2 linked regions of the Zea mays genome follow. The protein of the gene in region 1 interacts with the protein of each later gene in a pairwise test. Links are inferred from orthologs where the notes say so. Each region holds a gene or a part of one and is shown on either strand. Other genes may lie near its edges.

What was found. The genes of interacting proteins can lie anywhere in the genome.
Region 2: the proteins of preprotein translocase subunit SECY, chloroplastic (region 1) and uncharacterized protein LOC100286380 interact in binary tests that used the Arabidopsis thaliana proteins (3 or more experiments, as listed by UniProt). The link is inferred for Zea mays from reciprocal best matches to the Arabidopsis thaliana genes SCY1 and SECE1.

Annotation. Positions count from the first base shown.
Region 1 is NC_050105.1:53,384,568-53,389,311, forward strand, and holds the start of preprotein translocase subunit SECY, chloroplastic, read right to left. Parts: upstream 3,072-4,744; 5' UTR 3,055-3,071; coding exon 2,864-3,054; intron 2,773-2,863; exon of another isoform or gene 2,745-2,772; coding exon 2,569-2,744; intron 1,651-2,568; coding exon 1,265-1,650; intron 620-1,264; coding exon 320-619; intron 244-319; coding exon 154-243; intron 1-153. UniProt on the Arabidopsis thaliana protein: Involved in protein export. Probably interacts with other proteins to allow the translocation of proteins across the chloroplast thylakoid membranes. Required for normal greening during embryogenesis. Central subunit of the protein translocation channel SecYE.
Region 2 is NC_050104.1:16,102,833-16,106,280, reverse strand, and holds uncharacterized protein LOC100286380, read right to left. Parts: upstream 1,544-3,448; 5' UTR 1,484-1,543; coding exon 929-1,483; 3' UTR 702-928; downstream 1-701. UniProt on the Arabidopsis thaliana protein: Involved in the import/insertion pathway in the thylakoids. The signal recognition particle is not involved in the insertion of SECE1 in the thylakoid membrane.

The sequences.
Region 1 (4,744 bases):
ATCAACCCTTGGTACCATGTGTACCCATGACCTTTCTTTTTCTCCTAACGTCCCCTCCCCCTCCCCCTCCCCCCTCCATTCCTGCATCTCTTGATCCTATGTCTGTAACATCATGAGTCAAATAAAACTATAAAAGTATATTCAGTATGAAACCTTAAATGGTAAATATGCAGATCGCTGAAGTTCCCCAGTTCGACTGCTGTAACGAGAAGCATAATTGAGGGGTATTTTGCGCTCAGCTTCCTGAAATCGAAACACCCAGGCAGTTAGAACACGAAAGAAAATCTGTAAATATACCTTGAAATGAATATTTTCTTACTTGAACATAGACAATCCCAAGGACTAATAGTAAGAATGACAATATGATTGTGAGAAGTCCAACATAATTCCCATCTTGAAATGCCTGCGCAACTGTCCTCCCAAATGATGCAGGCAAATATGATATTATACTTGTAAATATAAGAAGTGATGTTCCATTTCCAAGTTTCAGATCAGATATTCTTTCACCAATGAAAGTAGTAAAGACCGATCCAAGTGTCAATAATGTCACAGATGTTAGAACCCATTCTGTGCTGAAATCATTCACATAGGGACGGAGATAAAGAACTTGTCCAATGGCCTAAAAACAAATACAATACTTTTTACAATCCCACTATATATAAATAAATTCAAGGTAAAATAACATCATAAATGATTACATGGTGACACAACAAATGGGTACTGACAAGACATGCAGTAAAAAAACAGACAATATCATCTTTACTTACAACAACACAATTCAGACACAGCATTACAGCGCTTCCTAAAACTTACTGACATGACAAGCAAAACGTTACTGTGTATGCTATAATCTTACTTTTTTCTTAATCAAAATACAGGTAATTTTTCAAAGCATATTAATGTTAGCATCTGTAAACAAGTTCCAGCCTTTATCTTTTATGTTATGCCAGGTAGTTTGACCTGAAGCTATGTCACATAGTAGCATTTTCCCAGGTATAAGTCAGTTCAGTTTTGCATGTAAAAAGTGCAAGTCTATAGAGGTTTAGACAGATGAGTTCTGCTCGCAAGGAACTTCAAGCATCCTATAGTGCTCTTCACGTTCTAACTTTTGACTCAGTTGCCGGAATTACCTCACATTTAAAACAAAGCTCAAAGAAGTTTCATTGCTGAAACAATATCATAATATAGAAAAAATCTAAGGTTCTCACTGTTAAGCCATCTTCGCATAAAAATCCCACTTCTCAAATATTTCAAGGAACCTAACCTGAACAATTGCAAATCCAACAGAAGCATATCTTGTATACTGAAGAACCTTCTTTCTTCCTGCTTCCCCTTCTTTCCGCTGAAGGTCTTGCAATTTTGGGTAGAGTTGCGCAAGGAGTTGAAACACAATCTGTGCATTGATAAATGGTACAATGCCAAGGGAGCAAATTCCAAGCCGGCCAATGCCTCCACCAGAGAAAGAATCTAAAGTGCCCAGCAGGCTGTTCTGGTCAAGGTTCCCAGCAAAAGCTTCTCGGTTGACCCCACCCAAAGGTATATACACACCAAGCCGAGACAAGGCCAAAAAACCAAGGAGCTTCAGGAACTTCCCAGGTAGAGGGCCCTTGAAGAAGTCACCAATGTCAATGGAGCTATCCTCAATTGCAGCTGCTCAAAAGGAAAGGTACTTGGATTGAGATTTGAGACACATTTTAAACAGCAAATACTGATTGGCTAAAGAAAGTGAATTCCAGCAAATCCATCTGCAGAACTGATCCTAGCTGTTAAAAACTTAAAAAAAATCAGCAGTTAAAGATGCAGTGCCAAGATACTAGAGCAGATAAATTTGAAGAAAATCGTAAAATTTAAGCATGATATGAGATACATTATTGATTCGTCAAAAGAATGTTGGTATTTTAAGAAACTTATCATGAACCACATCCAAATTGATGCAATATACAGGTTCTAACTTTTGTCTTCAAGGCTGTTTAGGATATTTGGGCTTGTCAAGTCCAAATAGATCAGCTTTGCTTTAAACTGCACTGCACTATTCCCTTAACTAACATGGAAGTATGTTTCTCCTTCATCTATCCACAACATTAATTTGATTATATGATTTTGCAACACTTCAACGCAAGTAGCATAGCACCACTGTTTTGCTTCACTAAGATTCACTTCAAAATTTACTACTCTCCCTACCCCAAAATAACTGATGTTTTATGTTTGTCTTAAGTCAAACCATTTTATGTTTGACTAAATTTATAGGACAGAACATTGATATTTATGACACCAGGTATATATAATAAGAAAATATATTTAGTGATAAAAATTTAATAATACTTAGCTGGTATCTTCAACGTTGATATTTTGTATAAATTTGGTCAAACTTGAAATGCTTTGGCATAGGACAAACATAAAACATCAGTTATTTTGGGGCAAGGGAGTACCAGTATAGAAGCTAATGAAGCATACCACTAAACCTAACTAACTAGTGCGATAGCACAGCATTATTGCAAAATCCACCAAAATCGTTCCTAAGTATTAGTCCTGATAAAAGTGAAAAGGAAATAGCTCTGAATTGGCAACCTGCTGCTCCTCGCCCGGACGCCTTCTCCCTACTTGCACCACCGCCGCTGGAGCTCCCAAATACCGGCGCCATGATACCAAAGAAGGTAGACAGGGGAGACCGCGACAGAGAATTAGACCCCTCCTCGTAGAGCCCCAGAGGGTCGAAGCCAGGGCCGGCGGTTTCCAGCGTACACCTGCACGAGCACAGCAGACAGAAGGAACCTAACCAAAAAATCAACAAGAGGACTCAACAAGTCTGGTTGCACGGTGCTTGAAACCAGGAGGCACGTTTCATCTGCTGGGATTTCGGTACCTGGGGGAACAGTCCAGTGTGCCTCGCCTTCCTCTGGTTGTAGTAATAGCGATGCGGCGCCTGAGAGGATAGATGGGAGCCGCAGCCGCTACGGCACGCGGCCGAAGAGGAGAGGAGAGGGGTGGAGGTGCCCGGGCCAAGGCGGGGAGCCCTCGCCAGCATTGCGGCGGGGTTGTCGTGGCGGTGACCATGGAGGCGTGGGGCCGAGAGTGGACGGAGGGGGGCACAGGATGACGAGTGGTTTTGGCCTTCCGGAGGTGATAATAATAAGCGACTATGAGCTATGGATTATGAAAAAACTAGAATTTATTTGACTACATAAAAATACATGTGCGTTGCAACAGAAAAAAAATAGTACAACAACAACAATATGCATGGCTATATATTGTGTTGTTAATCAAAATTAATATGTCTTTAAAACTTTGTAGTAGTTCGTAAATTGCCATATGTATTAGCTAATCGACATCGGTGGCCACCAGTTTACCATAGTCCGCGACATGTGGAACTGTGGGAGGAGGGTGGTCACCAGTTTACCATAGTCATGCATATTATATTTAGTTAACAACTACTGCACATACTGAGAAGAGAATGTTAATTTCAGTCAGTAGGATTTTTAAAACATCACATTAGCATGATTCAGTAGTATTAAAAAAGTATATATACCATCTGATAGTTGACAGTCTTTCGTAGCATGGATCAGTTTAATGAAAGAACTACATGTATTCAACTGACAACAACTACTGCACATATAAATCTTAAAATAGTTTGTTTCAGTTATCATGATTTAGAAAACAATATATTAGCATGGTACAGTATTTGGAAAAAACTGCATTACAGAGAAGTATGTAGCTGATGTTATTAGCATGACTGAGTTATCAGGGAAAAACTGAAAGAACTATCCTTGATGCCTCAAGGAATAGCATAGCTACAAGTATCTAAAATAAAAAAATACCTCTTAAACCTTGTGTTTCCCTCCTTCCCTCTCCCTCTGCCCCCCTCTCTCTCCATTCAAAAATATTGAACAATAAAAAATTGCAATGCATCAATGAAGGACAACTATAGAAGTTTATTCATGAAAAATCAATACTCTGTGCATTACATGAGGTATAGACTATAGAGACATCACAAAAGACATCTACCAAACCGTTAGGATTCCATATTGTCCAAAAACCATGTGATGGATTTTTGCAAGCATGCAACATATGTGAATACTAGGTGAGTGACCGTGCGTTGCAACGGAAATATATAATATCATGATAACTTATGTAAAAATGTGTGTTATATTGTTATGAGAAAAGGTCTATGGGCACCTGGTTCTGGTTGGCCTGGGGGACGGCGACATCGTTGGTGTGGGCACCTGGTTGGCCTGGGCGACGGCGACATCGTTGGTGTGGCAGCGCGTGAGGTCGCGCCCCTAGAGCAAGTAGGCGCGGCCCTCAGAGTTGTCCTCAGAGAAGGTCACAGGACGAGGGGCCAGTGAGGTGGGCTAGACCCCGCCACACGCCAAGAGGAGCCTGAGGAGTAGGTATAGCATGCTCCCACCACATCGTCGACCAATGCGTCCCTGAGGTGGTGCGGGGAGGATGGGTAGTCGCGGGTGGCGGCTGCGGAGGCGGGGCATTTTCAGTGGCATGGGGAGACGAGGGCAAGGGTCGCAATCGGTCGTGTACGAGAAGAATGATGGAACGGAATGGAAAGGTCGAGCGCCCGAGCCAAACAGGTGGAATTGACAACGCAAAGGTCGTGGGGGAGGGCAACAACGAGGTTTCTCGAGGGACGAGCGAGCGGGGACAACAATCGGGAGGACGGGGCGAGGGGGCGCCGGGACAAGGGCATGGCCTCGCCCCTGTGCACGCCCTCCTTTGCCCCTTAGTAATAGAA
Region 2 (3,448 bases), on another chromosome or scaffold:
TGTTGCTGCATCCAGCCACCTAACAACAACGGCTATAAATTTCTTCCTGGTAGAAGAGCATCTACAATTGTATACTTATATCCCATTCATTGGAAAGCAAATAATTAAATTTAACCCCATAACCTCGTACCCACAGCGACATAAAAAGATCATAATATACGTTCTTCTTTCGTTTGTGACTATACAATCATCCAAGGAAAAACAAATGCAAGACTAATAGAGTAGGCTACTTAAACGGTGGGGAGAGAATTGATACAGAAACATCTAACATTTGTCAAACCCAACAAAACAAAACATAGGACAATGCCATTAAGATGATAATCCCATCCGTAACTCCCCAGTTCGATCAAGGTTGAGGTAGAATCCTCTTGGAAACACTATACTTCAGATTGTACAATTTATTAAGAGGGACTCCATATAACCTAGATAGCAGGAAATGCCCGTCCCTTTTGAATGTATATATGAGTATCAATACGCCTATCTATCAGTCATCGGGGTGAAATGAAGCCACTAGGAGAACAGACAGTGAGTATCATTCAGTTAGTCCAAACTACTACTGTGCTAGTGAATCAGAAGAGCATAGTGTTAATCATAAGCGTTTTTAATCTGCAGAAATTCTTCAGACAATTGCTTGAACATAAGTGAATTGAGCCCTTATTTTAACTGAGTTGAATAGTGTAATCTGGAAGCCTATTATTATCTCACCACTAAACAGAAGGAACTCAAGTTAGGTTCCCGAGTGACCATTTACCAACAAAATGTCACTCACATATTAGTAACATTACCAAATTCGCAAGTGACTCATCATCTTTTTCTTGGCAACTGAAAATTGGACATAATTCCAACCTCGAACATTTGATCTATGACCCTAGCCCCAAGTGCAAGAAAAAAAAAAATAGTTACAGAGTACACGAAGCACGCCGCTTCGTCAGCCGGAGAAGAAGTCCTGAAGTCCGCGTCCGGCGAAGACGGTGTCGGAGAGCTCGGCGAGGAGGGCGTTGACGGACAGCAGCGCGACAGTGGAGCCCGCGATGACCCCAAGCACCACGCCGGTGGTGCCCAACACCTTCCCAGGCGCCGGCCACTCGATCTCGGTCATCTCCTGCGCCACGCCTGCCCACCACCCGCCGCGGCCCTCGGCGGCCTCCGCCTCCTTCCGCGCCCTCAGCACCTCCTTCAGCTCCGCCGCCACCGCCTCCGGGCTCTTCTCCCCGGGCGATGCTGCCCCCACCTCCGTTACCTTCTCTGGTCCTCCTTCCTGCGGCGCCGACGGTGCGGGCTCTTGGTCTTGTTCCTGCCCCTTGCTGCTAGCAGTGTCCTTGGAAGCGGCCGCAAGGCGGTGGTTGCGGCAGTCGGGGAGGGAGTAGGAGAGGGAAACGGAGAGCGCGGGCTGGAGGAAGGTAGCAGAGCGAGGATGGCGCGCGGTGCGGGGAGAAGGGGCTGGAGTGAGGCGGAGGATTGCAGTGGTCGGCGTGGTCGCCATGGCTTCAGCGACTCGAGACGAGGCGGCCCTCGTTGTGGCAGAGGGATAGTGGCGTTTGGATAACGGAAGCAGATCCTCGCGTCACTGACGTGTGGGACCAGATCCACGAGGGATGAAAACGGTCGTAAACACTAAAACCATTACCGTTTTCATATTTTTTATCGGAAACAAAATCGAAAACGGTAACTCCGGAAACGGAAACGATATCGGTATTTCGAAAACATCGGAAACGAAAGTTTGGTGCGAAAAATACACCGGTAACGGTCGAAATCTAAAATACAATCGGTAAACATATCAAACATCATAATACAACAAAGTTGACAAAAGATCACAAAGACCACAAGTTCACAATTCATGATATAACAAGTTTACAATATAAAAAGTTCACAAGGATCACAAATTTATAATATAAAAAGTTTACAAAGATCACAAGTTCACAATATAACAAGTTCATAAAGATCACAAGTTCACAGACTCAAAGTTCACAATTCATAATATACACTCGATCTAGCTGACATGACATGCTTACTTATGAAATATTTTGCCTCGCATAAAGAGTTTTTCACAGCCTCACAGAAAAACCCTAAAACATAGTGTGTGTGGAAAAGACCAAATTGTTAATCTCAACTGCCTTCCAACACCATCTATCCCAAAAAAAATCTTAAGGCATTCAAAAATACAAAAATAAGTAATCCTTATCTAGAGACGTACAGGCGATGCGAAAAATCGCATGCTGGAAAATTCCGAGACACAATTCCGAAAAATTCCGAGACACAATTCCGGAAAATCCTGAGACACAAATCCGGTAATTTCCGACAAAACCGGTAACCGAAGGAAACGGTCGGTAAAACACCACGACGATTCCGATACCGATTCCGATAGAAAATTTCGAAAACCGATTCCGTTTTCGTAAATTACCTTTACCGATGAATCCGATCGAAAAATTTCGAAATCGGTTTCCGGAATACCGAAAAATTCTGAAACCGTTTTCATCCCTATGAGTGGTATGACCATGAACTCTAAATTTTAGACTATAAAGATCGGGATTATTTCTATTATTTTTGAATTAAAATTTTTTAGGGCTCTAGTATTTTGTGAAAAAGTATTTTAATCATGATCCATTAACGCTCCTAATTAGTGGCCTATTGTAGGTAAAGTAATCGGAGATAGAGATGGCAATGGATACGTACCCGCTCGGTAGTGCTTACCCATATGCGTACCCACGAGATAAAATCATACCCGTTAAGAAACTCGTATCTGCCCTTGGGTACGAAATTCTACCCACATCCATATCCGCATGAACCCGTCGGGTAACCCACACCCGATTAGATACCCGCTGAACGCATATTAAATAGCATAAATCTAATAAATATATGGCATATTTAAAACATAAAACATAAAATGTGAATAAATAAAATAAGAAAAAATAATGAATAATGTAGAAATATGTAAGTTGATCTTATTTTGGCTAATATATATTTATATGTGCTTATTTAAGTAGGATATGTGTATGACTTAGGTGGGTATAAATTACTCATGAGTATGTGGGTTTGGGTAGTACATACCCATACACACAGTCTATCCGATGGGTACAAAATTGTGTCCATTAATATACTCCCGAGTAAAGAAGTTGTCCTATACCTGCCCTTATATCGGGTAAAACCCGCGCGAGTATACGTGTTTCGGGTACTCATTGTCATCTCTAATCACATAAGTTTTTTCTTTGTAAAACCCGTGCGGGTATGCGGGGTTGTTCACTTCGGATTAAGCCAGATGTTTGGATTGGTGCAGCTATAATTCATAGAGATAAAAATACTATAAAAGTAGCAGAAGCCGGTACAGATAGCCAAACGAACATGCTTTTATGGGCTATTATGAGTTATTCCATCTTTTAAGCTAGGTTTTTTGATCGATTTTAACTATACAATAATTATGACTATATATGGAGTAAAACAGGATAAATTA